Linked DNA regions of Cricetulus griseus. The protein of the gene in region 2 purifies or fractionates together with the protein of the main gene of each other region. This does not show direct contact. Links are inferred from orthologs where the notes say so. Each region holds a gene or a part of one and is shown on either strand. Other genes may lie near its edges.

Region 1 (3,500 bases), on a different chromosome or scaffold from region 2:
TTTGACTTAATTTTGAAGTGTGCACTCTGTAGAAGGGAAACCCCAATAAAGACTCTAAAGGCTCCCTTAGAGCTAAGTACCAAATAGGACTCCCTGGGATTCACTTGGAACCTGGGGCACAACTCAAGTGTCAATAGATATGAAACAAACAAGCATTAGTAAGGACTACTTTACTCATGGAAGAAAAGAATAAAGTTAAATTGATTAGTTAACTGAGGACTGAATTATTTACCAACTAAGCTTTTTAGGGTTAGTTATCAAAAGTTCAAGTTATTCTCTGCAACAGTCATTAAAAAAATCTTCTTTTAAGGTGAAGTAAATTAAAAGATTAGAGGTGTAGGGAACTCATGCAGGCTAAATCAAAGAGGAGAAGGCAAAGCTGACCAAGCCATCAGACCACGCCTGATGCTGACAGCGGGGGAATATACCTCGTGGGCGACTCGGTAACGTCTGACAACCTTCAAAGAAAGGAGAAAACAAAAAGTTGTAGGAGAGGAAAAAAAAATGGATGAAGGTGAAAAAAAAAAAAGAAGAAGGAAAAAGCAGCAGTGAGAGGCAGGCAGCAAAAAGCCAGCACATCAGCCAGCCCTTGTCTACAGTCTGTGGGGGAGGGGGGAGCAGCTGGGGTGGCAGCAGCAGGGGCTTGAGAGTTTGAAGCACATACAGAGCAAGGAAAAGCAAAGGCTTACAGCACTGCAGCGAGCCAGGATGCTCTCAGGGTGGGACTAGAGCAGAGGCAGCACCAAGATGTGCATAAGCTCAGTGCAGCCTCCTGGCTAAGGCTACAAAGGGCAGGGGAGAGAGTCATGTGACTCTCGACATAGGTTTCTACAGACTATGGTACTCTCTCTGGGCCAGTAGCCTTTGTTCACTTGGAAGGTAATTGGATCAGGGCAGAGGGAAAACTATATAAATTTACACCAAACACCCAGGGCAGCCAGACCACTGGCCCCTGGGCACAGATGGTCACTACCATCTTTCCTTCTCTTACCTATTTTGGCTCCTTTCTTCAGTAGAGTGACTACAACGGAAGTGTTCCTGCAACCCACTGCCCTATCCAAAGGACGCATCCCACTGTAGTCAACATGCTCAATCATGGCCCCATGATCCACCAGGAACTGGACCTAAGCAAGGAACAAGCAGCACTGTTAACAGGCACAATGGATACAGCTTGCCCCTTTTCAAACTGCCTGTCTGAACCAGAGTATAAAAATCACTTCAGGTTTTCAGTAATGGTTTGTATATTTCTGTCCTCCACCAATTATAGATTTGGAGAATCTATGCTGGAATCATCGAAATAGTACTTCACATTAGGTCCTAGATAGTATTACTGATGAATAACATCCCCTGTCCTTACTCTCCTGGGGTCTGTTTAAAGGTACTCACCACCTCAGCATCGCCATAGAAAGCTGCCAGGTCCAGTGGGGTGCGGCCATTCTTGTCAGCATGATCTGTAGCAGCTCCATTATCCACCAGAGAACGTACTACTGAGAGATGGCCCTTCAAACAAGCCCAGCTAAGGGCTGTCAACCCTTCTTTGTCCATTAGGGCAATAGAGGCACCTATAAGAACCAATGGGAGTCCCGTGTTAACAGGACTGAAGACACAAACATCTGTAGCAGAAAGGAATGCTGATACATAAGGTATATATGCTGTGAAAGACATATATAGCTTTTACTTCTAGATTTTTCTATTTTGAGATTGACCCTGGCTGGCCATGATGACACACACCAGTAATCCCAGAAGTAGGGAGGAGCAAGCAGGAAGATCATGAGTTTGAGGCTAGTTTGGGCTACAGAGTGAGCTCAAGATCTGTCTGAGCTACATCTTCATCTCCTGAGTGCTGTGATTACAGGTGTGTGCCAGCCCAGTTTGTGTGGTACTGGGGATTGAACCTAGAGCTTTGTGTATGCTAGGCAAACACTCTGCCAGCTGAACTTTATTTCCAAGCCCCAAATTACAACTTACTTAAAAAAAATTAAAAACACGTAAATGTTCCTATTCTATAGTATTCTACACATAATGTAGGCTAAATAATTTTTGTTGACTTAGTGAAAATTCACTTCAGTGAAAAAAACAAACAAAAAACCAAATAAAATACCCAAAGAAAATATAAAAGGAACCAGTTCAAAGACCCTGGGTAAGGCAGAACAAACCTCTGGAGTCTATGCCTAATGAGTGTCTACTGGCATGTGGCAGATATGGTAGTTACCTAAGGGTCATCAGTGCTGAAGAGGCCCTGCCTTTTCTGTTGGATATAGTTTGTTCCGGAATATTGCTTCATGTCACATCTTAAGAATCTAGGTCTACTCCCTCTGAGTACTCCCTCTGAGTGCTGCCCCCCCCCCCAGCAATAATAAAGATAGGTAACATGAAGTCAGACTTGTTTGGTAACTTGGCAAGAGTTACATTGTACCCTGGAAGAGCAACTCTTGATTTACACCTTTGAGTCTGTGGCTGTGGAAACAAATCTTCCTTGAAGGGACAGAGCTGAAGAAGCCACAGCAAATCTCTTAGGAGAAGCCTAGCCTTCCTGATCCTTGGCTGTTCAGGTCTGGGCACAGTTCTTCAGAGGCTGGTTTCCCTTGAAGGAACGTGCATATATGTATAGATAATTATATGTATTTAAGTCTGGTTTATTAACAGTGTAGGCTAACTGGAATGATGTCATTCATGATTTCAAATCTCCTCACTACCCCCTGCTTGATGCAAATCCACAGGCTCCCACTAGATGGTGCTGTAGTGCCACCAATGATGAGCCATTTCTTACTATGACGGCTTGGGACACCACTACTGCATAGGGGCTGATCTTAGAGCAGTCAGCAGGAGCTGGGATGCTTTAACATTGTTCACCTGCAGGGAAAAATACACTAGCCTCATAGAGGGAACCTCCTTTAACTTGTTTCCCATTTACCAAGGATGGGAGTATGTTGAAAAATGCCACAAGGAATTTATTATAACTTAGTAGTAATATCCCAATTCTCCAAAGAGGGTCTCATTGCTAGCAAGTCTTCTTTTTACCTCCTTTGGATTCAAGAAAAATATTACCTGTGCAGGCTGACAAATTGATACCCAGATTCACCTGGTGTGTTGGTATACTCCTTTATTTTTTTAGAAGATTTTATTTATTATGTATACAGCACTCTGCTTCCATGTATATCTGCACACCAGAAGAGGGTACCAGCTCTCATAATGGATGGTTGTGAGCCACCATGTGGTTGCTGGGAATTGAACTTAGGACCTCTGGAAGAGCAGCGGGTGCTCTTAACCTCTTTGCCATCTCTCCAGCCCCTGTATACACCTTTAAATTCCAACACTTGGCAGGAAGAGGCAGGTGGATCTGTGTGAGTCTGAGGCTAGCTTGGTCTACAAAACACATTCCAGGGCTACATAGTGAGACCCCCCCCCCCCCCACACCACCACAACTACCACCAGCAGCAAATCAGCCTCTAAAATAGATGAATATTTACTGGGTATACATTAAAAAAATTGAAGTTTGG
Region 2 (3,500 bases):
GAGCTGTTGGCTGCACTATCCTTGGTCTGTTTCTGCCATGGGGGTTTGGGCTAGAGTGGCAGGTGTTTAAGGGACTCTGGTGACTTAGCATTGCTCATGTGGCACACACATGCAGCGGTTTGTAGTAAAGTCATGTAGTCTGTAGAGGGTTGGCCATGTGTCCTAGAATGCTGCAGGAAGCCTGGGCACTCAGCATGGGTCTTCTCACCTCAGACACAGAACCTTAATCCAGCCCTCAGCAAAGGCAGTGAGTGACTGCCCAGACGCCAGGTTCAGCCGAGAAAGGAGAACAGGACCAGATGGATTTTGTTTGTTTGTTTGGTTTGGTTTTTCGAGACAGGGTTTCTCTGTATTGCTTTGGAGGCTGTCCTAGAACCCCTTTGTAGACCAGGCTGGCCTCGAACTCACAGAGATCCGCCTGTGCTGGGATTAAAGGTGTGCACCACCAATGCCCAACTCCAGATGGATTTTGAAGTGGGGTCAGGGCCATCTGGCCTCAGTCTGAACATTGATGTTAGTACCTTTAGCCTCTGGTAATTGGAGGTGTTGGCTGTGTTCCTTTAAGTTTCCAGAATTATCCAAGGAATCTGTGTCTCCGGGGAGAGTCCAGGCCTCTACAGGGAGGGAGTGTGGTTTGCCCAGCCTGGAAACATGGATTGGGAAAGCTGTAGTTAGGCCCTGCTGTGACTCCAAGGAGTGAGTCTAGACCTTTAGATGTCCCTGTGTCCCATTAAAAAAGGTAGAGTCTGTGACCTTAGCCAATTAAGAGAATTTGATAGTTGCTAAGACTTGTGAATGGGGTTTTTAATCATATCTCCCCCCCCCCCATTTTTCAAGACAGGGTTTCTCTGTGGCTTTGGAGGCTGTCCTGGAACTAGCTCTTGTAGACCAGGCTGGTCTCGAACTCACAGAGATCTGCCTGCCTCTGCCTCCCGAGTGCTGGGACTAAAGGCGTGCGCCACCACCACCCAGCTTTTCTTTTCTTTTTTTGGGGGGGGGTAATTCAAAACATAATTATCACACAGAATGGTGCTTAAGGGGGACCCCCTGACATTTGTGGAGGGGGCATAACCCTGTAGCCTTGATTCTCTGGGGTGGTGGGTAAGTGAGAACTAACTGATAGGATTGAACATCCCTGTGCCCACGCTAAGCTAGCTGCATGCCCAGAGTCCCTGGACCTCCTGAAGTAGGGGTTTTGGTTCTGTCTGGTTGTCTGGTTGCAGCGAGTGCCAGAGCTCAAGTCCCTAAAGGAAGAGATGATGGCACTTGAGGATGTGGCGGTAATTGTCTTCAGGATTCCCTGAAGTTCCCTCTAGGTCAAGATTAGACAAAGCAGATGAGGCTTCGAATAGAATGGGTGCTCCCACTAATTGTGGCCGACCTGAGGTGTCCCCTGGCTAGAATAATCCCTGTATGGGAATGTATTATTGTTGCCTCTGGATAAACCAGCTCCAGGTGTCCTGTACCCCAGCCCTCCTGAGGCTGCAAGGCCTCTTAATGCTATAGCATGTTTCAGTTACTTGAACAGTAGGGTGACCATCTGCATTCTTACAGGCAAAAGAAGATACAACATTAAGCTGTGGAAAACGTTCACAGACTGTTTTAACTGCTTACCGATAGCAGCCATCGTGGATGAGAAGATTTTCTGCTGTCATGGAGGTATGTGTAATTTCCACCCCTTCTAAAAGGTAGACTGTTGTGCATGCGCTAGGACTTGTCCATGGGGACATAGCAGCTGTCAGTTGGGTCAAGTGTGAGGGCAGGTTGAAAATAGGTCGTATTTTTAATATAAAATGAACCCTAGTATGTCTGCTCAGCTGTGTGTTTTCTTGGACCTTCTGACTGGGGTTCCTTCCAAAAGTGGTTTTGCTTTGCTTCATGGCTATGCTGTGTGTGAGGTATACAGAAATTGCAAGGCGATGATACTGGAAATTAAGCAGCTATCAAAACCACAGGCTTTATTAAGGCACAGTCTACTCTGTGTCCTCTGTAGATTTGGAGGTTGTGGACAGCAGAGGCTCTGGAGCTGCCTCACAGTTGAACGATGTCCCTGGGCCCAGCCATTGCATGTGGTGACTGATGGTGGCACCTGGTGTGTCCACCTTGCTGCCCTCTGTCGGGAGAGGTGTGGATTCAGGGTACTGAATGTTGACTTCACAGTGCTCTGTGTTGAGGTGACTGTCCCTGTGCCTTGCACACCAGTACAGTAAATTTTGTGCATATTTGGTGGCAGAGTTTTATTGCATTGTTTTGATCAAAACCAAGTAAACAGAAGAGCCACAGGTTTGAGTGCAGCTGTTGGCAGCAGCAGCCTCTGCAGACAGCCTCTTCTAACAATTCTGCTTCTTCAGTGTTCTTTCCTGTCTCCTTGAATAGGTTTATCACCAGATCTTCAATCTATGGAGCAGATTCGGCGAATTATGAGACCAACTGATGTACCAGATCAAGGTCTTCTTTGTGATCTTTTGTGGTCTGACCCCGATAAAGATGTCTTAGGCTGGGGTGAAAATGACAGAGGAGTGTCCTTCACATTTGGTGCAGAAGTGGTTGCAAAATTTCTCCATAAGCATGATTTGGATCTTATATGTAGAGCCCATCAGGTATTGATTTTGAATTTTACATGTACACTTAGAGCATGTGTGTGAGCAGGTTCTCCTTGTTGATTTTGGTGGGTAGGTATGGCTTGCCACACAGTGTGCCTCTGGGGAGAGCGGCAGGAGGCCAAGCTCAGTGGGGAACGAGAGCGGCACAGCTCAGCCTGCAGCCACTCACACTGACACTGTCTTTCCGCAGGTGGTTGAAGATGGGTATGAGTTTTTTGCAAAGAGGCAGTTAGTCACTCTGTTTTCTGCACCCAACTACTGTGGCGAGTTTGACAATGCAGGCGCCATGATGAGTGTGGATGAAACCCTCATGTGCTCCTTCCAGGTGAGACAGTGGCGGCTTTTCATGACTCCAGAGAAACAGCGCTCCCTGTTGTTTCCTGGGTGGACTGTTTTCTTCTCCAGTGACCTGTGTTTGTCCCATGGGAGTCCTTGCAGGCTCTTTCCAAAGGAAGGAAAAATAACAGGACCTTTCCCCAGTGTTGAATTTAGGTGTAGTTGAATTCTTTGAGAAGTGAAAGCAAATGATGTGTTGCATCATCAATTTATAGATAGTGCTTTGGGGTCTGCAGATGGCTTTTTTGGAACAGTCTATGTAGCCCTTGCTGGCCCAGAACTCCATATGTAGACCAGGCTGGCCTCTAACTTAATAGACAGACCTACCTGCCTCTGCCTCCTGAGCGCTGAGGCTAGAGGTGATATGTGCCACCACATGGGGCTCCTTTGCCAGAATATCATCTCCAGTTGTTGGGGTTGGGCTGTTTCTCACATTCAGTGTAGTAGGTCACTCAGCTGTGAATGTCAGTGTAGCCATGGAAGTCCTGAGGCAGCCCAAAGCACACACACCCCACCCCACCCCCAGACTGCAGACTCTGCCTTCCACAGAACTCCCCAAGG
Region 3 (4,113 bases), on a different chromosome or scaffold from region 2:
GGCAGGATTTCGTGCAATGAAGTCAAATGCCTCAGGCAGAAAAGCCAGGCAAGCACCCAGTCTGGCCGCCTCTAGAACCAGCTCAGCACATGTTTTAAAGTTCTCTTGCTTGTTTGGTGTTGATGTTACCTGGCACACAGCCACCAGGGGCAGCTCCCAGGAAGTTGAGGAGGACACCTCCATAGCTCTGGGCCTGTGAATAGCACGGGCAGTGTTCTCAGATTTGCTAGCACGGAGAAACCCAGAGGCTCAAGTGGGATGGGGCCACAGACCTAGATGTTTTTCTTTTTTGAGACAGGGTGTTTTGTAGCCCAGCCAGGTCTTGTTATGTAGCTGAGGATGACCTTAAACTGCTGCCTGCTTCCCAAGTGCTGAGATTACAGGTGTGTCCCACCATCCCTAGTGACTTCTTTCCATTCTTTCAGAGCATAATAACCCCAGAGCTACTGGTGTTCACTTATTAAATGTTTGGTGGGTGGCAGACAACTTTGTCTCCCCACACTGCAGTTATAAACACGGATTGAGCGGCAATGTGCCAGGCAGAGAACAAGAAAATATGTTACCTGGGCTGAGTACAAAGTACCGAGATTCGAGGCAATCTGTTTCCGGTACACAAAAGGGACAGGAGTTGGCGAGGAGGCCTGGTGATGAAGCCCAGCCTGAAGAGGGTGAAAAATCAGGACACCTAACCTTCCTTCAAGTAGTATGTTTCTAGAATTCTCTGTCATTTCCAGGCCTGGCCAGTAATCCCCTCCCCCAAGGCTTCAAAAACATCCCCCCACACGATTAGCTGTGGAAAGAGGTCGTAAAAGGGAAACATGGGAGAGGAGACTGATCCGAGCCTCAATACCTCAACTTCCAGTGATCTCACATTAAAACTGAAGCCCCTTTCCTCTGCCAAACGTTTCCGCGGTTCAAGTCATCTCATGGAACCTTCCTCGCTTCCCCAATTCTCTCTTCTCGGCTGTGCCACCTGCACAGCTTTATAGGCTCAACGCGTATCTCTCCCCTTACAGCAGTATCTCGAAAGGCAAGTTCACTCTCCCTAGATCGCCACCATCTCGAGGTGGGCAGGGGGCTCCGGACCAGATCCCAACCCTGGACCCCGCCCTCTGATTAGCGCGCCCTTCCCCGCCTCTCCCTGGGGCAAGAATCTCTGTTGCACAAGTTAAAGCACCGTAGGTGGAATTCACCGCAGCGGGCAGGGTTGGGGAGTAGGTCCTACATGAAGCCACCGCCAAAACCATTCGCAGGGTCGACCAGAGGAGCTTCCTGGAGCCAGAAGCGCAGGGGCAAGTGGGTGGTAACTACCAGACCGGATGTGACGCAGTGGGAGTGCGCAGGCCGGAAAGCTCGCAGGTGGCGAAGATGGCGGACAGCAGCGGTCGTGTGAGCAAGAGCAGCGGGAGCAGCACCGGGAAGGGGGCGGTGTCGGCCGAACAGGTGAGCATCCGCGAGCGCCGAGGGCAGCTCGGCCGGTGTCGAGTTCGTGCAGGAAACGGGGTCTGTGGCTTGTACCGGCCCTCAGCCCTTTCCACGTTCTCCGTGTCGCACTCGCGGAGGGAGGCGATCACGACCCCTGCTAGGGCATGCGGAGGTGGGTGTGCAGAGGAGAGCCACGTCCGCAGGCTGCAGCGGGAGCCCAGTGGGAAAGCCCTGAGCTGCGGGAGCTGGGAGGGTGTCCAGGGCCCCAAGGTGATGGGGTCGTCGTTTCCCCCGTCTCCGAGCTACTGGGAGGCGGGCCTGCTTCGGCGTTGCATCTAGTAACGAACCCCAGAGGTTATTAGTCGGGGAATTGTTTAGTCTGTGACTCTAAAACCGCGCTCACCATCGCCCACGCGCTGCAAAACCACGTGACTCAGACTCGACCGCTTCAGTCTTCTGTAACTATTTTTTTTCTGGTTTTTCGGGACAGGGTTTCTCTGTAGCTTTGGAGCCTATCCTGGCACTCGCTCTGGAGACCAGTCTGGCCTCGAACTCACAGAGATCCGCCTGCCTCTGCCTCCCGAGTGCTGGGATTAAAGGTGTGAGCCACCAACGCCCGGCCTTCTGTAACTATTTTAACTAAGGAGTCTTTAGTAGATTGGCTTTGTGGTTTAGTTTGGTTTGTTTGATGGTTGGTTGGCCTTGGGGTCGGGGGTGGAAGTTGCGACGGGGTCGCTCTATGCAGTCTTGACTTTTCTGAAATACACAGTGTAGACCAGGCTGGCCTGGAACTCAAGAGATCCGCTTGTCCCTGCTCCTGCCTCTCGAATTCTGAGATTAATAGCCTGTGTCACTAAGCCGGGCCAGGATTGTTTGGTCTTTTGAGACATGATCTCACTAAGTAGCCCAGGTTGGCCTCGAACTCGCTCACTGTGTTCTCGGAGTGGAGATTGACTTTTTAGAAGAGACCGGAAACCCTTTTCTAATCTAAGTTTGCCCCCACCCCAATACATCGGGATATGTCTGACTAATCAGAAAGCCCTTTGTGGTATGAGAACCGTGCCTTGTTAATCGTGGGACTAGTATTTAATCGATAGTAGAAGGAAAAAAAAACCACACAATTGAAATGAAAAGAATTGAGGCTAGGGATATAGCTTAGTGGGCCAAATGGGAGAGCCCTGAAGTGTAGGACATGGGAGGGTGTTAATTAATTGTTGAACACTCAGTACAGTCAGGTAAAGGTAGCCGAATAAAGAGTTTAAAACCTGCCCTATCAAAGAGCATATCTATTGGGACAAAAGGGGGATTTTCATAATTCTACTTCGAGGCAGAAAATAAGTGTTCTAAGAGAAGTAAAATGCATTGAAATTTGGAGGTAGCCTCCAATATAGTGGCTAATACTTTTATTGAGGGTCTGTCTTGTGTTAGGCTCTGCTGAACACAGAGAAACTGGTAAATGAAACAGACCTTATCTTCAACTTGGTCAAAGATCCCTAGAAATACAAGACAGCCGAGTGTGATGGCTCATACCTGTAATCCGGCTGGATTACCATGTCCATTCCAGGCTAAGCCTGGGCTACAGAGTGAAACAGTTGTAAAAACAAACATGACAGAAAGACAAATAAAACAATGAGAGTTTTAAAAAAAATTATTTTATGGGCTTGGTGATGGTGGTGCACCATTTTGTCTTAGCACTTGGGAGGCAGAGGCAGGAGGATCTCTTGAGTTCAAGGCCAGCTTGGTCTGCAGAGCTAGTTTAGTTTCAGGACAGCCAAGACTATACAGAGAAATCCTGTTTTGAAGAAAACAAACAAACAAACAAATAAATGCTGGTAAAGGCCCCTTGAGATGGCTTTTGCAGAGGCCCAAGTTTGATTCCCAGCACCCATCCATGTTGCTTGTCTCACAATTCCCCATCACCTTGGCTCAAGGGAATCCAACGCCCTGTTCTGGCCTCCAAGGCAACTCCACTTGAGTGCACATGCTATCACACAGACACACAAACATGCACATAATCTAAACAGTTTTTTTGTTTGTTTTTGTTATTTTGTTTCAGGACATAGTTTCTTTGTGTAGCCCTGGCTGTCCTGGAACTAGCTCTGTAGACCAGTCCCTGTATTTGAGAGAGATGTAGAGGCAAGAGAATTAGGAGTTCAAGTTCATCTACTCAAAGTAAATTTGAGTGTGGGTTACATGAGATTCTGTCTCAAAAAGATAAGAAAAATCCCTGTCACTTGACAGTCAAAGTTCAATGTGTGTTTTGGAGAGGACAAACCCTACTAAAACATAGCTTTATACCCCTTAGTCCCAAAACTTGTGCCCTTACAATGCAAAATACGATTATTCTGCCCCAATAGTCCCCAGAGTCTTAATTTGTTCCAGTACTAACTCAAGATTCCAGGGTCGTTTGTGCAGGGAAAAGTAGCTCATCTCCTTCCAGCATGTAATGCAGAGGCAGGCAAAGAGAGAAGTAGGCCAGAAAGGTAGGTGGGGGTGGGTGGGTGGGTGGGTGGGTGTGTGTGTGTGTGTGTGTGTGTGTGTGTAAAACAAGCCTTAAGTCTGATTCCAAGAGAGCAGGCATTGTCTTACAATTCTATAACAATTTTTCTCCATGTGCCATTTGGAAACCCTGGGGCAGGGATTGGGCCTCTAAAATGCTGGGCAGCTCCACATCTATGGGTTTGTTGG
Region 4 (4,283 bases), on a different chromosome or scaffold from region 2:
CTCCTCTTTGTCCCTCATGACCTGAGCCTAGAGATAAGATCAGAGGTGCTAAACTTTTCCTGTAACTCTTATTCATGTCCCTCCAACCCAGGAACTCACCCCCATACTCACCTGAGGCCTAAACCCACAGAAGGCCTAGGGAGGGATGTGTTCTATATTGTTGCCATGGATTTCTGCACCTGGGGGTGGGGGAGGGGGAGGGTATCTGTTACCAGGAGCCTCCAGGAAGACAACACTCAGGGTCATGAGTGCATTCTGTGCCGGTGTGGTTTGGATATGTAAGCTAGGTTACTACCTGCCCAGCAAAGCTGAAGGGATCCAAGGAACTATACAGATCCCTGGAACCTGTCCCTAGCCAGTAGGTACTGGGGATTGGTGTCCTGCGAGTGAATTCAGCATGTATGTGTGTCTTAAGTATGTAAAAGGTTCTAGGGATCTGAGCTGGTGAGCAGGTGAGGATGGTGCTAAAGAGACTGGAGTGGCTGTACTAACCCTGGCCAATAAATGAGCCTGTGTATGACAGCCATCTACCTAACCCTTGGAAGCCTATCTTCCTGTGCCTATCTCCATAACTCTGGGCTCTTTCCAATGGTGGTTCCAATAGGGAACCCTGGAGGACATTGCTTCTCCTTCAGAACATGTGAGGTCCAGGAGAGGCTCCTTCTACCTTGTCTCGTCCACAGCCACAAGGGCATGGGGACCAGCTCCCACAGCTCTCTGTGATTGGGACAGACCACTTGGGGCTGGACTGGCTTGATTTAGCCCACCCGAGACACAGGTTAGACGTTAAAGCAGGGGCCCACTTCAGGGAGAGAAGGGCTGCTCTGGAAGGCACTGGGCCCATTGGGGGAGGGGAGAGTAAGGCGCTTCAAACAAAGACCCCAGGGTCTTTGTCTCAGGCAGGCCTCAGGGACGGTCCCTTCCCCCACCAGGGCTGCAGCGCCCATCAGGTCAGCCGGCCCCTAAACCCCACCTCCGTCGGATTGCGGGCGGGAGACACTCGTGGCCTCTCCTCCCGGTGTTCTCGGCTACAGATTGCTAAGGGAGCAGGACTGAAGAGGCGTAGCCTACAGGGCTGATGAAGGGAGGGCGAATGTTGCGCCCGGGGACAAGTCAGAGTTGCAGGGTTCCAGTCAGGAGCCCTCTCGGTGGGCGGAGACCAGTCACACTGAAAATCTGTTGAGGAAGTCCGTTCTGTAGCTGGGGACACACCTCACCTGGGCCAACCAGCCCAGAGCGAACGCAGCTGCAGACGCGCTTCCGTGTTGATCATCAGCAGTGAGCATCCCATGCGCCCCGGTCCTGCCCCTGCCCACTCAGGGCCCCGCCTACACCTGGATGGCTCCGGGGCGGGACGGATTAACGAGCCAATGGGGCGTGGTGGGAGAAAGGCCGCCAATGGCAGTGGGCATGGGGCGGGAGGCACGCGCCTCCGATCTAATGGGGTACCGTGGGGCGGGGCGCGCGGACCGGGAGCCAATGAGGCCGTGAGGTTGGGCGCGCCGCGGCGCTGGGACAGCAGGTTGAGGCGGCGCTGGAGCGCCTAAGTCCGGGAGGCCGGCGGGCGCCCAGGTGAGTTGTGCCGGCTTCTCGAGCTTCCTGAGCCCTGGGCGCGGCACCAGGGAGCTGTCTCCGACAGAGGAGAAGCTGATCTGGGCGAAGGGAAGCGCGGTGGCTGTGCTGCACCTGCGTCTGCCGGCTGCGGAGTGGGACGTCTGGATCCCGCGCGGCCGGGATCAGCCGTGAGGCGGGCTGTGCCCCCAGCGGGGCGGGACCACCGGAGCCCAGAGCGCTGACTAGACGGGAGGGACTGCGGAGGCGGACCGGGGACTGGCGGGGGGCTGCTCAGATCTGGGGTCGGTTGGGAGATGGAGGTCTGTTTGGGTCTTAACTCTCAGCTCCTCCTGGCCCAAGGGGTTCCTTCCCTAGGGGGCGTTCCCATGACTGTGGACGGCGTCGTATTTGCGTTTGCTCGGTGTTAGGTGCCTGGGGATGGCCGCTCGCATGAAAAGGGTGGTGGCCTTTGAGCCAGGTGACCGGGGGACAGGAAAACCTGGACCTGGTTAATGATTCGCCCTGTTCCTGGAGTGGGGTGGGTGGGGCAAGAGGAGGCTGGTGCAGGAGGGGACGCCTCAAAATGCTCAAGAGGGCCAAACTAGTTCCCCAGCCACTCCAGGAATGTGTGGCCTGCGGGTGGGGCTGGGCACAGGAGGGCAGGGCTGAAGGGACACAGTCCTGAGCCAGTTGTTGTGGCAAGCTAAGAGAAGAGGAAGGCCAGGCCATGATGGAGGCAGGCCTGTCCTGATCTTAGGGTCTCTGTCCTTCCCACAGGACAGGGATGGTCTTGGAGCTTGTGGTCATGGAGCTGAAGGTGTGGGTGGATGGCATCCAGCGGGTGGTCTGTGGGGTCTCAGAACAGACCACCTGCCAAGAAGTGGTCATCGCGCTAGCCCAAGCTATAGGTGAGTTCCCTGGGGACAGAGAAGCTAAACCGGTGGGGCCGTAGTCCAGCCCCATCTTCCCTTCCAAGGAGGGTGGGGTTGACTCCACCCTTTTGCTCTAGTCCTCAAGCCAAGTGGATAGAGAGGGGAGATATAGGCTGACCCTGTCTTTCCCCCCACAGGCCAGACAGGCCGCTTTGTTCTTGTGCAGCGCCTTAGGGAGAAGGAGCGGCAGCTGCTGCCACAGGAGTGTCCAGTGGGAGCCCAAGCCACCTGTGGACAGTTTGCCAGTGATGTCCAGTTTGTCCTGAGGCGGACAGGGCCCAGCCTGTCTGGAAGGCCCTCCTCAGACAACTGTCCACCCCCAGAACGATGCCCAGTTCGGGCCAGCCTGCCCCCCAAACCATGGGCAGCACCAGGCCGTGAGCCACACAAAGCACTGACCTTCAACCCAGGATGTCCCAAACTGGTCCCCAGCTCCTCAATCCCTGAGTCTACAACCCTGGTAGGACCCACACCAGACTGCTTTGCAGACCTGCAGGGCCTAGAACTCAGGATACAAAGGAATGCTGAGGAGCTGGGCCATGAGGCCTTCTGGGAGCAGGAGCTCCGACGAGAACAAGCCAGGGAGCGTGAGGGACAGGCACGCCTGCAAGCGCTGAGTGCAGCTACTGCTGAGCATGCTGCCCGGCTGGAGGCCCTAGATGCCCAAGCCTGTGCCCTGGAGGCAGAGCTTCGGCTGGCTGCTGAGGCCCCTGGCCCTCCTTCAGCTACAGCATCTGCTACTGAGCGTCTACGCCAGGACCTGGCCATCCAGGAGCGGCATAGTATGGAGATGCAAGGCACCTTGGCCCTGGTGAGCCGGGCTCTGGAGGCTGCTGAGCATGCTCTGCAGGTGAGCCCAGGAGACCTACGCCCCTGTCAACTCCCTGCCTGCTACACAGCCAGTTTGTCAGCACTCCACCTGCTGCACAGGCACTTTGGGGTTTGATATAGAATCAGACCAGGGAGCATGTTGTCTGTGGGAAAGAAGGTCATCGCCTTGTTCCTGAAGGTCCTGTGTGCCCCCAGGCTCAGGCTCAGGAACTGGAGGAGCTGAACAGGGAACTCCGTCAGTGCAACCTGCAACAGTTCATCCAGCAGACAGGTGCTGCAGTGCCACCACCTCCACAGCTGGACAGAACCATCCCGAGCCCACAGGTCAGAGTAGTTCTGGGAAGAGGTGATGGTCAGGCGGGGGCCACCCTAGTTCTCAACTGACCTGTTTTCTCCACAGGACCTTCCAACCAGAGATGAGCCCCTCCAGGGAGTCCCCCAGAGCCATATTCTAGTGTCCAGCCTGAGTCCAGAGGGTATGTTTCTCTCCCTACCCCTATCCCCAATCCATGGGAAGGGACCAGCTCTGGTATCAGCCCATTCAGCCTGTGTCTTTCTCACAGTTCCCCCCATGAGGCAGAGCTCCTGGAGGTAGCACTTCCTGCTCAAGTAGGGAACACTGAATACAGATGAGCCAGCACAGCTGGGATGAGCCACCTGGACAATGGGCGAGCATGATCACGGAATTCTTTCCCTAAAGTGGGAAAAGCTATGATGTCCTGGGGTTTCTGCTTCAGGGGGCAGGAGTGCTAGTGGACATGTTGTCCTAGTCTTTTTCAAGTCTCCCAAGTCCCCTGAAGAAGCAATGGGCAAAGCTCAGAACTTACCAGGCCCCAAAGGCCACTACTTACTGGAGGAGAGAGAAGTGTGGACAGTACATTCATCCTGTGGAGGGGGGTGTGCGCCTGCTATTGACTCCACTGAATATATGATGCCTTCTTGCCCTGACAAACCTCAATAAACTAC
Region 5 (3,933 bases), on a different chromosome or scaffold from region 2:
AACGCGCCCTTGGAGAATGGGTTCTTTTCTCATTGGGGCCCCGTAGCCCGTAGCCTAGGCTGGCCTGGAACCTGTGACCGTCCCTTGCCTGGGCCTTTCCAGTGGGCCCCGCCCTCCCTACACCTCTGTGACATTGGATGTTTCCGCGGGCTGTCAGGGAGGACAGACACCCCATCACAGCTGCTCCCCAGGGAGGGCCGCTCCAGCCAGTCCCGGGAGAGCGCCGGCCGTTCCTTCCGCCTCTCCTGTCCCCAGGCCCAGCGGATCCCTCCCGCGGGCGGCCCCGAAGCCAGAAGCCAGCGAGGGACCGCAGGCAAGGCTACCTCAGAAGGCTCAGGCCCTCAGGCCCCAGCGCCTCCCACAATGCCTCGCTGCGCAGTCCCCTACGGTGTCCGCGGGCGGGGGAGGCGGCTGTAACCCGAGCGGGTGAGGGGCTAACCCTGCTGCTGGCCCGCAGCCCGCGACCCAGAGAAGGGGCGGGGACACCGGCCCTCGGCCCGCCTCCCCGGCCCTCGGCCCGCCCTTCCTGGTCCTCGGCCCCGCCTCCCAGGCCTTTGTCCCGCCCCCAGATCTTCCACCACGCCTCCCAGATCGTCTGCCCCGCCCCTAGACCCTCCGTTCCGTCTCCCTGACCTCTCGCCCCGCCTCCCAGGCCCTCCGCCCCGCCCCTAGACCCTCCGTCCCGCCTCCCAGGCCCTCCGCCCGCCCCTAGACCCTCCGCCCCGCTTCCCAGGCCCCCCGCCTCGCCTCCCAGGCCCCCCCGCCCTAGAACCTCCGTTCCGCCTTCCAGGCCCTCCGCCCCGCCCCTAGACCCTCCGGCCCCGCCTCCCTGGCCATCGGCCCCGCCTCCAGGCCCTCCGCCCCGCCCCCAGGCCCTCCGCCCCGCCTCCTAGGCCTCGCCCCGCCCCTAGGCCCTCGGCCTGCCCTCCGGGCCCGGAGCGGCCTCCCCGGCCCGTGCTCGCCGCCCTCATCCCGCCCCTCTGCGGGGCTCGGCGGGCCCCCGTGGTCCCGCCCTCCCTTCCTCCTCTGCGCCGCTGTGCACCGCCTCCCGCCCCGGCCAGGCCGGCGTGCGCCCTCCCTCGCGTCTCCTCCGCCCGCCGGCTCAGCCCTCCGCGCGCGCCGCCCTGCGGCCCGGGCCTCCTCAGCCCCGGCCCCGCCGCTCGCTCTCCGCCGCCGGGTCGCCGCGGGGCCGCCTGGGCCGCCGCCGCCGCTCAGCCAGGGCCGGGCCGGGCCTCCGCCGCGGGCCGTGCACCCGGGCGGCGGGACGGGCTGCGACGCGCAGTAAGTACAACTTTCCCGGCCCGCGCCCCCGCGGCCCCGCTGTCACCCCGCGCCCGCGCCCCCAAGTTGGCGCTGCCCGCCGGGGTCGCCTCTCCCCGGTGTCCTTGGCGAGCGAGTTTAGAGGCCACTTTTGCGGGGAAGGGAAATGCATGGCCGGCCCTTGGCCGTCCCCTGAGCTCTCAGACGGGAATCGGATGCTCGCCCGGAGGGAGAGCCTTCCCTCTGGAAGGGGAAAGTGGCGGTTGGCAGGCTTCTGCATTTTGTCCGAACCGGGGCCGCCTGGCCTCGTCGCGCAGCCTCCCTCCCTCCGTCCCGGGTGGCCAGCCCCTCCGGGGAACCGAGCCGCCCGCCGGGAGGGGGCTTGCAAAGTTCGCCGCGTCCTGTACCCCGCAAACTCGCCCAGGGCCCGGCCCGGGGAGGCTCAACTTGAGGGGTCGTGGGCTTGGCGTGCGAGGCCGCTGCGGGCGGCCCGGCGGTGGGCGGCGGAGACCGGCTTGCGGCTGGGGTTGCGTCGTCTCTGCACCGCCGAGCCGCCCGCCCGCCCGCCCCGGGTTGCCGGACCACTACTTGGGACATAATTGCAGGTCAGCGATGGTCCTAATCTTCGGAGGTCTAGGAGGAAATATGCGGGGCGCAACACACTTGAGCGTGTGAGGTCAGCCCTGCCAACACATCAAAGCCTGGCGTGAAAAGAAAAAAAAAAAAAAACTCTCCAGCCCGCTGACAGCAGGGACGAACACTTAGGGACTTACCGTAGATTGGGGCGCAGAGATTTTTCATGACATCTGTTTTGTTCCAGGGAAGCATTTAAAACCTAAGAGACCTCTGCTCAGTTGTAGGCTGTATGTGTGTGTGTAGGTGTGTGTGAGGGGGTGTTAAGGTAGTTTTTCTTTTTTAGAAGTCTTTCATCTGTGGTTGCCAGGGGTTTGGATCGTGCTATGGAGGCTAAGAACCGGCAGGTTTCCTGGTGTGTGCTTTTTGTTTTTTGTTTTTTTTAAACCTATCCTTTGCTTGAGGCTGTCCCTAATGTCTGTCAGTTCGCTGCAGGGGGAGGTGCTGGTGAACACAGGAATCAGGGCTCCGGACAAAACTGCACGCTCAGTTTGGGAAGTGGTTTATGCTATATCTTTTTTAGTGGTCATATGAGTGGTTTTTCTGATCTTACTTAAATCCACGGGGAACTTCCCCCAAACCTCAAAGTTACACACGACCGGTACTCCATTTAAGAAGACTGGATGCAGTTTGATAATTCTTCTACCTGTGGGTCTGAAGGGTCAGAGGCAACACAGCGTAATTTGCAATGAAGGTGATTAAATCTTTTCAACAATCAGTCATTTGCCCCTCCCCCTAAGCGTTTTTAGATGGTACTTTCCGAACTAGATTCAATTGGCCATAATGGATGAGATCTTTGTAGGTGATCAAGCCCCTATTCTGGGCTTCTGGTGCTTGGGGGGACGGTAGAGAGTCCCTGTAGGGAGCCAAGCCATGGGACTGTGCACCTAGGAAAGGTTTTCAGTTAGTGTCAGTGTCCTGGAGAGAAACACAGTTACAGAGGTGTCCAAGTCATTTCAGTGGTCACAGTTCCCAGATTGTGCAGGTTTTAGAGATATTTGGAAATTGCAGATTTAAAATCCTATAGGATCGTGGTGTCATTTTTCTTTGCATCTTCTTTGCCTTTTCAATTTTTTTTTTTTTAAGCTTGTGACTCTTAAATTTGGAATCCTTGGTGCTTGGTTTTCATGGCCCTTTGTATTCAGAGGGGTGTATTAGTGCTTGATCTGAATGCCTGGCATTCTGAGAAATGATTAATTCTTCAGAGTATCCTGTTTCTTACTGAGTCTTTTGCTGTTGTATATAATAACTTGGGAGTAAAATTGTTGTTTACTGCAGGATATCATTGTTCTTTTTCCTTGTAGTTAATTTTTGGCAGATGGTTTTGTCAATTTATAAAACGTTGAGAAGGAGCTGGGCGTTGGTGGCGCACGCCTTTAATTCCAGCACTTGAGAGACAGAGGCAGGCGGATCTCTGTGAGTTCGAGGCCAGCCTGGTCTCCAGAGCGAGTGCCAAGATAGGCTCCAAAGCTACACAGAGAAACCCTGTCTCGAAAAACCAAAAAAACAAAAAAACAAAAAAACAAAAAACCAAAACAAAAAAACATTGAGGAGACCCAGATAACTTGCAAGTATTCAAAACTTGGGAGATTTCCTTCTAGGTGGAGGTGAGGTGGGGCTGCCTCATGGAGATGAAACATTAGGAAATGTAAATAATGAGCCAGCTACTCACTTTCCTTGGAGGTTACTTTGTTCCAGTCCTAAGTAGGTTTCGGAATTCCGGAATTCCCGTTCCCTAGTGTTCTGTGGACTGGAAGAGATACCTTTTGTAGCAGCTAGCCAGGCTTGTCAGGGATTTAAGGATGTGCCCTGCTCCTCTGGTTCTGTGATCTGTATTCACAGCCTTTAAAACGCGTTACCACCGCTAACAGGAAAGCTACGAGCAGAGCACCTCCCAAGTGCCGGGCACATCTCTGTCAACAGTGGCAGCATCTCCCATGTCCCCAGAGCTTACTTGGTGGCCGTCCATTGGTCCATTGTAGTGTTTAAACACAACCCCCTACCCTCCTACCCCCACTTCCTTCCTTGAGGGCAGTAACA
Region 6 (3,500 bases), on a different chromosome or scaffold from region 2:
GGCAGGATATTAGGAAGCCACAAAGAGGATGTTTGGCAGGGTAAAGAATTCATGAGTAAGAAATCCAACAAGGGGTTGCCTAGGTGACTGAGTCTGTAGGTAGAGGACTGGGTCAAGTTGTTTCTTTTCTTTAGCTGAGGTTCTAAAGAGCTGCTGTGTAAAGGTTAACTATGTGGCCTGCCAAGTATGGCCTAGGATCTCATGCCAAGCCCTGAGATTTGGCTTCCAACACAGGGAGAGCAAAAAGGATATGTGATAGGTAGGGTTTTAGTTGGGGGGGGGGCGAGTGGTAGAAGAGAAGGGAACTGGGATTGGCATGTAAAACAATCTTATTTCTAATTCAAATAAAAAAAATCTGCAAAATAAATAAATAAATCCATCAAAATTTTAAAAAATGAAAGAAATGGGTGCTCCCTGAAGCTTTCTGTGGGTAGCACTATAACCCATATTTATATTGGAGGCTCCTGGGCAGTAGCATGATGACGCACAGCAGCAGGTTTTAATAACTCCAACTCTATGGTTTTAGATGTGTCCCAGCTGTAATCTGTAAGCATGCCCAACATGACTAACAGTAATCTGTGTGTACCTGAAGTTTACAGAACCATGATTAGCCTATTGTGATACTGTAAAGGGCCAGGAATCCATGTCTATCCATTTAACATACACTTTGTGGGTTCATGCTTAGCCACTCCTGGCCTGGTCATGTATAGAGTTGAAAGCTAAAATGAGTGAACCCATGTGGTTAGAAAATGTCTTTCAGGCTTTGGTCTCTGCACCCAGCCTTGGGATGCTGCCTAAATACAGATCCCTGCCCCCATTCCTAGAGATCTGATTCCAAAGACTCAGGAATCTGCATTTTACCAAGTAAGCTGGATAATTTGGGGGCTTGTAGTGCTAAGCCCATAGGAAACACTGATGCAGGTGTGTGTCCGCATGGGTACAAGAGCTCTGTAGGTGTAAAGGCCCCACACATACATGGGTGCTGTGGTTGGCTCAATGTTCTTCTCTTGATGCCGTGGAATTCTTGGTATTTTGTGTGCAAAGTAGTCCTGTATTTTCTGAAAATTGTGTAGCCAGGTCTGTAAACAGTCTCTGCTGTCTGTGACTGAGATGCCTTGACAAGCATGCATACAGTTATTAGTAGTATTTTCTTGCCTGTTGGCATTAGACCTAAGTCTCCAAGGCCTCTTCTGAGCTTTAAAGATGAACATCGTCATTCATCACAAGAGTCAGAGCAGGATATCATAGTACATGTTGTTTTCAGGGAGTTCAAATTTAATTCCATCTGACCACAAACACCTGTGTTTCTGTTATGCTAACACACTTTTCTCCCCCCAGGATGGCACGAAACAGAAGAGAGAGCGGAAGAAGACGGTGTCATTCAGCAGCATGCCCACAGAGAAGAAGATCAGCAGCGCTAGTGACTGCATCAACTCAATGGTTGAAGGTTCGGAACTCAAAAAGGTTCGTTCCAACTCCAGGATTTATCATCGGTATTTTTTGCTGGATGCCGACATGCAAAGCCTGAGGTGGGAGCCATCTAAGAAGGATTCTGAGAAAGCCAAGATTGATATCAAATCTATCAAAGAAGTGAGAACGGGGAAAAACACAGATATATTCCGCAGCAATGGCATTTCTGAGCAGATATCTGAGGATTGTGCATTTTCAGTCATATATGGAGAGAATTATGAATCACTTGATTTGGTTGCCAATTCTGCAGATGTTGCGAACATCTGGGTGACAGGACTCCGATACCTGATTTCTTATGGGAAACATACACTCGATATGTTAGAAAGTAGCCAGGACAACATGAGGACTTCTTGGGTTTCACAAATGTTTAGTGAAATTGATGTAGATGACCTTGGACATATAACTCTGTGTAATGCTGTGCAATGTATCAGAAACCTCAACCCTGGTTTAAAAACAAGCAGAATTGAGCTTAAGTTCAAAGAATTGCACAAATCAAAGGATAAAGCTGGCACTGAAGTCACAAAAGAAGAATTTATTGAGGTTTTTCATGAACTTTGTACTAGACCTGAAATTTACTTCCTTTTAGTTCAGTTTTCAAGCAATAAAGAATTCCTTGATACCAAGGACCTTATGATGTTTCTTGAGGCAGAACAGGGTGTAGCACATATAAATGAGGAGATAAGCCTTGAAATTATTCACAAATATGAGCCATCCAAAGAAGGTCAGGAGAAGGGGTGCCTCTCCATAGATGGGTTCACTAATTACCTGATGTCACCTGACTGTTACATATTTGACCCAGAGCATAAGAAGGTCTGTCAGGATATGAAACAGCCGCTGTCTCATTACTTTATAAACTCCTCTCATAACACATATTTGATAGAGGACCAGTTCCGGGGCCCCTCTGACATCACAGGGTACATCCGCGCCCTTAAGATGGGCTGCAGGAGTGTAGAATTAGATGTGTGGGATGGGCCAGATAATGAGCCTGTGATTTACACGGGCCATACCATGACCTCCCAGATAGTCTTCCGCAGTGTCATCGATATTATTAACAAGTATGCGTTCTTTGCATCTGAGTATCCGCTCATCTTATGTTTAGAAAATCACTGTTCTATTAAACAACAGAAAGTGATGGTTCAGCACATGAAGAAAATTTTAGGAGACAAGCTGTATACAACATCACCCAACATGGAAGAGTCGTATCTTCCATCCCCAGACGTCCTGAAAGGGAAAATACTAATCAAAGCAAAGAAGCTGTCTTCAAATTGCTCCGGAGTGGAAGGGGATGTGACTGATGAAGATGAAGGGGCAGAGATGTCTCAGAGGATGGGGAAGGAGATTGTGGAACAGCCCAACCAGCTGCCTGTGAAGCGCTTTCAGCTTTGCAAAGAACTGTCTGAGCTGGTCAGCATCTGTAAGTCAGTCCAGTTCAAGGAATTTCAGGTGTCGTTTCAGGTGCAGAAGTACTGGGAAGTGTGTTCCTTTAATGAAGTGCTTGCTAGCAAATATGCCAATGAGAACCCCGGGGACTTTGTAAATTACAATAAGCGTTTTCTTGCCCGGGTCTTTCCTAGTCCAATGAGAATTGACTCTAGTAACATGAACCCTCAAGATTTTTGGAAATGTGGGTGTCAAATTGTAGCCATGAACTTTCAGACTCCAGGACTGATGATGGACCTGAACATTGGATGGTTTCGGCAGAATGGAAACTGTGGCTATGTTCTCCGACCAGCCATCATGAGGGAGGAAGTCTCCTTCTTCAGTGCCAACACAAAGGACTCTGTCCCTGGAGTTTCACCTCAGTTGCTTCACATCAAAATAATCAGTGGCCAGAATTTTCCCAAGCCCAAAGGATCAGGTGCCAAAGGTGATGTCGTGGATCCTTATGTCTATGTGGAAATCCACGGAATCCCTGCTGACTGTGCAGAGCAAAGGACAAAAACTGTGAACCAGAATGGAGATGCACCCATTTTTGATGAAAGCTTTGAATTTCAAATCAACCTCCCTGAACTGGCCATGGTGCGCTTCGT
Region 7 (4,218 bases), on a different chromosome or scaffold from region 2:
TGCTGAGAATGTCCTTGTTATAGTTGCTTTGTTTTTTTGAGTACAAAAAAAAAGTTGTTGAAATAAAATACTCAGTATCTGTCAAAAATCTTACAAGTAGATGAAAAATTTTAACTAGCCACATGACTCTTTCAAATGTACTTTTTTTTTTTTTTTGTAATCGCTGCTTTTATGAATTAGTTTCAACTTCTCACAACTTGGGTCACCTTCAGGGTTTTTCACTATTATTATTATTACTACCTGATTTGTAAGTTTTGAACCATTAGATCTTGCTATTGCTGACACTCACAGAGTAATCAAATTTAAGAAGACACCAGGGATTTTTAATACGACACCCAGGTGTGTGATGGCTCATGCCCGTTAACTTCATCAGTCAAGACAACGAGGCAGAAGGATGGGGAGATGGAGGTCTACTGATGGAATAAGCAAGTCGGGGATTCCTAAGGGGCCTGTCTCAAAATTTAACTTTTTCTTTGGGCCGCAACAAAGCTTAGACTAAGTATGCGACTGATGCCACAGCGTCCGGGGCCACAACGTAAAACATTCTACCCATGGGCAGACGCCTCTACCAATAGCTGTGAAATACCTGATGTCAAAAAATCCCTCTTATAACTTTTGTCTGCGCAGGGTCCTCAGATGAAGCTGAAAAACCACCACGCGCGCGCTTTACGGAGATCTCATAGCCAGTGTCTCTCCTTGAAGGGGGAAAGAGAGGGTGGGGAGGCTCTTAAGGGTCGGGGTGTGAAGGGAGAGGAAGGACGCAGACGACGGGGAAATCATTCCGTGGGTGCAGTGACATCACAAAGGACGAGCAGCCCCGGAGCGGGAGCGTCACGTGCCGCCTTCTCCGGGGACATCTGCGGCGCGCACCCGGTTTCTCTCCCAGGACATTTTTGTTTCCCGTGTGTAGATGACAAATGAGTGACTCTCGCTAGGAAATGACTTTTGTGCTCGGCGCGGCACAGGCTGGGTTTCCGGGAGCGCCGGGCGCTTTAAACTCGGCGCCCGTGGCGTCCATCCGGGAACTTGTCTCCCCGCGGAGGCTTTCCCGAAGGACAGCACCCAGTCACACCCCAGCACACCGCGGGGGACAGAAACCAAGCAACACGCGGCTCCGCCCGGGCGACGCGCCGCTACCTGACGTCTGCGCAGAACGGAAACCGCGTCAGAATTCCGAGCGGGGTAAAGCGATCGGCCAATCAACGGGCACCTTCCCTCTTTGGTTCTCATTGGGCGACACCAGTGTCAATCTACGACGCTTCGGAGTGAGGCGGGAGGGGGCGGGGGCGGGGGAGGGGGTGGCGTTCTTGGCCGACAGACAGCCAATCGGACGTGGGATCGGAGCGGAAGCAACTCTGGCCCCGACGACGCTGTGTCCTCTCGATAGTCCCCGGGCCTGGGCAACGCGGTGAGAGCGTCGGCCGCGGGTGCCGGAAGTGACGCGAGGATGGCGGAGGGGCGCGAGGTTTCAAGATGGCGGTGGCTGGGTGGTTGACCGAGAGGCAGAGGTGAAGGCCCCGCCGCCCAAAGCACGCCGGCACCGCCCGCTACCCGGCCTGGCCGACCCGGGAGCCCCGCAGTGGCGTAAGTGTGCGCGGTCGCGACGCTGCGGCTCCCGCCACGGCCTCCGGGGCCCGCGCAGCCGCTTCAGACCCCAGCGCCGGGGGCCGCGCTCTTCCCCCCGCCGGGCCGGGCCGGGGTCGCGGGAGCCGCGGGCGGGAGGGCTCCGGGGCCGGGGTGCTGCGGCGGCCGACGGGCGCTCGGCCGGGCGCGGCCCGCCCGCTGCGTTGGTCCGCTTCCCGTTGGCGGCGGCCGGCCGCTTGGCTTGACGTGCGGCCGCTCGAGTCGGTATCAACCGTCGCCATGGTTTCGGCGGTTGCGGCGGCGGCGGCCTGCGGGCGAGCGGGCCAGCGGGCGGGCGAGCGGCCCCGGCTCCTGCGCTGTCGGGGGCCCGCGGCCCCGTCCTCTCCCGGGCGCCCCTGCGCTGACGAGAGTCGCGCTTGTAGACCAAGACCGTGCGGTCTCGGAAAAATTCTCAGCGGCTCGCGGCTGCCGTGTTTTCAGTTGTGGGAGGGGGCAAAGAAAAATTAAAAAAAAGGTCAAAAGGTGAACCCGAATATATAAAATAGAAAGCTATAGAAGTCTGTATCCGTGCCTGCTTGCTTGCTTTCTTCCTTCCTTCCTTTCTTCCTTTCTTCTAGTTCTCTATAATCAATGCCCTTCTTTTCCCTTCCTCTCCCCATCATCCTGCCCCTCCTCTTTTCGGATAACGAAACGTTTTTATAGTGAAATAGTCTCCGGGCAGTTGATCCCTTGGTGAGAGAAGCATTAACTAGAAAGAAAAACAAAACAAAACAAACAGAAAAAAAACCCTACGAAGTCTTCACAGAGGAGCCAAGGGAATTACAATTGTGGGAGTCTGTTAAAGTTGTCTCGGGATCTACCTATTCCCTACCTTCAAAGGTGTCTTTTTTAAGAAAGAAAGTCGACTGGTTGGGTGTGCAAAGGGGGAATACCTGTAGCCAAATGTCACATCGTTTCAACGGCTAACATTTCTTTACTGTATTATTGGAAAGGTTAAATTTTAAAGTTAACATTCATCCATTTTGAATAGAAGAACTGATACTAATACAAGCTTTGAAATTATTTTCCTACAGTGACCTGCCACTTTTAGTTACCTTAAAATAAATCAAGAGTCATATGTGTTAGTAAGAAAAGTATGTATGTTAATATTAAGATTGGGAAGTTCTATTCATTTTTTTTTTGCTTGAAAGTCATGAGTCATATTTGACTTGGTATTGAGTCTAAATTAAGTATGTTTAAATTAATTACCTTTTACCATCTGTGGGGTTTTGAATGAACAGTGCCTATGCCAAGGAGAAAAGTAGAGAACATATATTTGTCTTTGAGCCTAGAGTCATTATCACTACTTCTCTTTGACTTCACCTTATATATAAAGGGGGAAGGGTGTAGGAAATGAACTGTTGACTTCTTACACTCCAGGTTTGTATCACATTATTAAAACATTTTCTAGTTGGGTTTTGTTTTGAGATAGTCTTTTATGGCCCAGTCCACATTCCAAGTGCAAACTCCTAGTTGAATTTTTTTTCAGTTGACAGTGCTACATAATCCATAGCAGAGTGTTAAATGTGGAGAGTTCATGTGTCTCGTTGCCTTGACTGTACAGATGTTAGCTTTTCTGTGATGAAGAAAGGTAAAGCCATATTATATGTTCAAAATTAAAGAGCAAGTTCTTTTTTTGTTTTGTTTTGTTTTTTGTTTGTTTGTTTTTTTTCGAGACAAGGTTTCTCTGTGTAGCTTTGGAGCCTATCCTGGCCTTTGCTCTGGAAACCAAGCTGGCTTCGAACTCACAGAGATCCACCTGCCTCTGCCTCTCAAGTGCTGGGATTAAAGGCATGTGCCACCAACGTCCGGCAAAGAACAAGTTCTTACAAAATTAATAATCAGAGGGGTATTTCCAGAAATTGATGGGAATTCTAAAAAGGAAGACATGTTAAACATACAGGAAAACTGAGTTCTTTTCTTTTTCCAGGTTTCGTTTTTTTGTTTTGTTTCTTTAATGAAGAAGTAAATCATATAAATTGTCAACATGGGACGGAGATCAACATCCTCCACCAAGAGTGGGAAGTTTATGAACCCCACAGACCAAGCTCGTAAGTGCCATTAGTGTGAAATGATGACGTTGAAGAGTTAAAAACTGCAAAGAATATTTCCCCGAGGCTTAAGCAAGTTCAGCATTGGTAGAAGGGAGTTGTGTGAAGTCATGTTGAATTCTTAAAATTAACTCACATGACTAAAATGTTGAGAGTGTACATCAGTTAAAACCATGTTCTTGTCAAGCTTTGTTGGCTTGCAGGATAAAATTGGATTGTTTTTCTTTTTGTGTTGGAATTTTTAAACAAATGAGTTTTAAGCGCTAGTTTGGTATTTGAGAATCTCTTTTTCTCATTGGTTCAGTTATTTCTGTGAAAAGAAACATTTTAGCATCTGGAGTTCTTAGGGTTAGAAGTGCTGCAGTTGTGCAGTTGTCTGCAGGTCGAAGCCACCGATGCCAGTGCATATCCAGGTGTTGCATAGGGGAGCCTCAGAAGAAAAAAGTGTGTGCTGTCTTGTGGTAATGTTAATGTTGAAGATTTGAGGTATATGGTCTCTTTCCCTCTCTTTAGGAAAGGAAGCCCGGAAAAGAGAATTGAAGAA

Evidence for each region.
Region 1: the proteins of Ppp1cc (region 2) and Tanc2 purify together in Homo sapiens (affinity purification with mass spectrometry; 3 studies listed by BioGRID and IntAct, counting the BioPlex papers as one, with this or other methods). This does not show direct contact. The link is inferred for Cricetulus griseus from reciprocal best matches to the Homo sapiens genes PPP1CC and TANC2.
Region 3: the proteins of Ppp1cc (region 2) and Pfdn2 purify together in Homo sapiens (affinity purification with mass spectrometry; 4 studies listed by BioGRID and IntAct, with this or other methods). This does not show direct contact. The link is inferred for Cricetulus griseus from reciprocal best matches to the Homo sapiens genes PPP1CC and PFDN2.
Region 4: the proteins of Ppp1cc (region 2) and Rassf7 purify together in Homo sapiens (affinity purification with mass spectrometry; 4 studies listed by BioGRID and IntAct, counting the BioPlex papers as one, with this or other methods). This does not show direct contact. The link is inferred for Cricetulus griseus from reciprocal best matches to the Homo sapiens genes PPP1CC and RASSF7.
Region 5: the proteins of Ppp1cc (region 2) and Rassf8 purify together in Homo sapiens (affinity purification with mass spectrometry; 3 studies listed by BioGRID and IntAct, counting the BioPlex papers as one, with this or other methods). This does not show direct contact. The link is inferred for Cricetulus griseus from reciprocal best matches to the Homo sapiens genes PPP1CC and RASSF8.
Region 6: the proteins of Ppp1cc (region 2) and Plcl2 purify together in Homo sapiens (affinity purification with mass spectrometry; 3 studies listed by BioGRID and IntAct, counting the BioPlex papers as one, with this or other methods). This does not show direct contact. The link is inferred for Cricetulus griseus from reciprocal best matches to the Homo sapiens genes PPP1CC and PLCL2.
Region 7: the proteins of Ppp1cc (region 2) and Wbp11 purify together in Homo sapiens (affinity purification with mass spectrometry; 4 studies listed by BioGRID and IntAct, counting the BioPlex papers as one, with this or other methods). This does not show direct contact. The link is inferred for Cricetulus griseus from reciprocal best matches to the Homo sapiens genes PPP1CC and WBP11.

What each region holds. Positions count from the first base shown.
Region 1 is NC_048600.1:118,854,338-118,857,837, reverse strand, and holds part of Tanc2 (protein TANC2), read right to left. Parts: intron 1,563-3,500; coding exon 1,387-1,562; intron 1,125-1,386; coding exon 992-1,124; intron 459-991; coding exon 429-458; intron 1-428. UniProt on the Homo sapiens protein: Scaffolding protein in the dendritic spines which acts as immobile postsynaptic posts able to recruit KIF1A-driven dense core vesicles to dendritic spines.
Region 2 is NC_048597.1:102,022,847-102,026,346, forward strand, and holds part of Ppp1cc (serine/threonine-protein phosphatase PP1-gamma catalytic subunit), read left to right. Parts: intron 1-1,554; coding exon 1,555-1,659; intron 1,660-2,376; coding exon 2,377-2,600; intron 2,601-2,793; coding exon 2,794-2,928; intron 2,929-3,500. UniProt on the Homo sapiens protein: Protein phosphatase that associates with over 200 regulatory proteins to form highly specific holoenzymes which dephosphorylate hundreds of biological targets.
Region 3 is NC_048598.1:21,547,853-21,551,965, reverse strand, and holds the start of Pfdn2 (prefoldin subunit 2), read left to right. Parts: upstream 1-1,313; 5' UTR 1,314-1,368; coding exon 1,369-1,443; intron 1,444-4,113. Other genes in the region: Nit1 (deaminated glutathione amidase), read right to left, coding at 1-193, 564-659, 872-873. UniProt on the Homo sapiens protein: Binds specifically to cytosolic chaperonin (c-CPN) and transfers target proteins to it. Binds to nascent polypeptide chain and promotes folding in an environment in which there are many competing pathways for nonnative proteins.
Region 4 is NC_048596.1:59,964,269-59,968,551, reverse strand, and holds the start of Rassf7 (ras association domain-containing protein 7), read left to right. Parts: upstream 1-1,483; 5' UTR 1,484-1,572; exon of another isoform or gene 1,573-2,331; 5' UTR 2,332-2,338; coding exon 2,339-2,462; intron 2,463-2,623; coding exon 2,624-3,336; intron 3,337-3,512; coding exon 3,513-3,641; intron 3,642-3,717; coding exon 3,718-3,912; 3' UTR 3,913-4,283. UniProt on the Homo sapiens protein: Negatively regulates stress-induced JNK activation and apoptosis by promoting MAP2K7 phosphorylation and inhibiting its ability to activate JNK.
Region 5 is NC_048601.1:3,906,481-3,910,413, reverse strand, and holds the start of Rassf8 (ras association domain-containing protein 8), read left to right. Parts: upstream 1-1,133; 5' UTR 1,134-1,281; intron 1,282-3,933.
Region 6 is NW_023276806.1:252,582,684-252,586,183, reverse strand, and holds part of Plcl2 (inactive phospholipase C-like protein 2), read left to right. Parts: intron 1-1,338; coding exon 1,339-3,500. UniProt on the Homo sapiens protein: May play an role in the regulation of Ins(1,4,5)P3 around the endoplasmic reticulum.
Region 7 is NC_048601.1:12,199,008-12,203,225, forward strand, and holds the start of Wbp11 (WW domain-binding protein 11), read left to right. Parts: upstream 1-1,418; 5' UTR 1,419-1,584; intron 1,585-3,553; 5' UTR 3,554-3,610; coding exon 3,611-3,674; intron 3,675-4,187; coding exon 4,188-4,218. UniProt on the Homo sapiens protein: Activates pre-mRNA splicing. May inhibit PP1 phosphatase activity.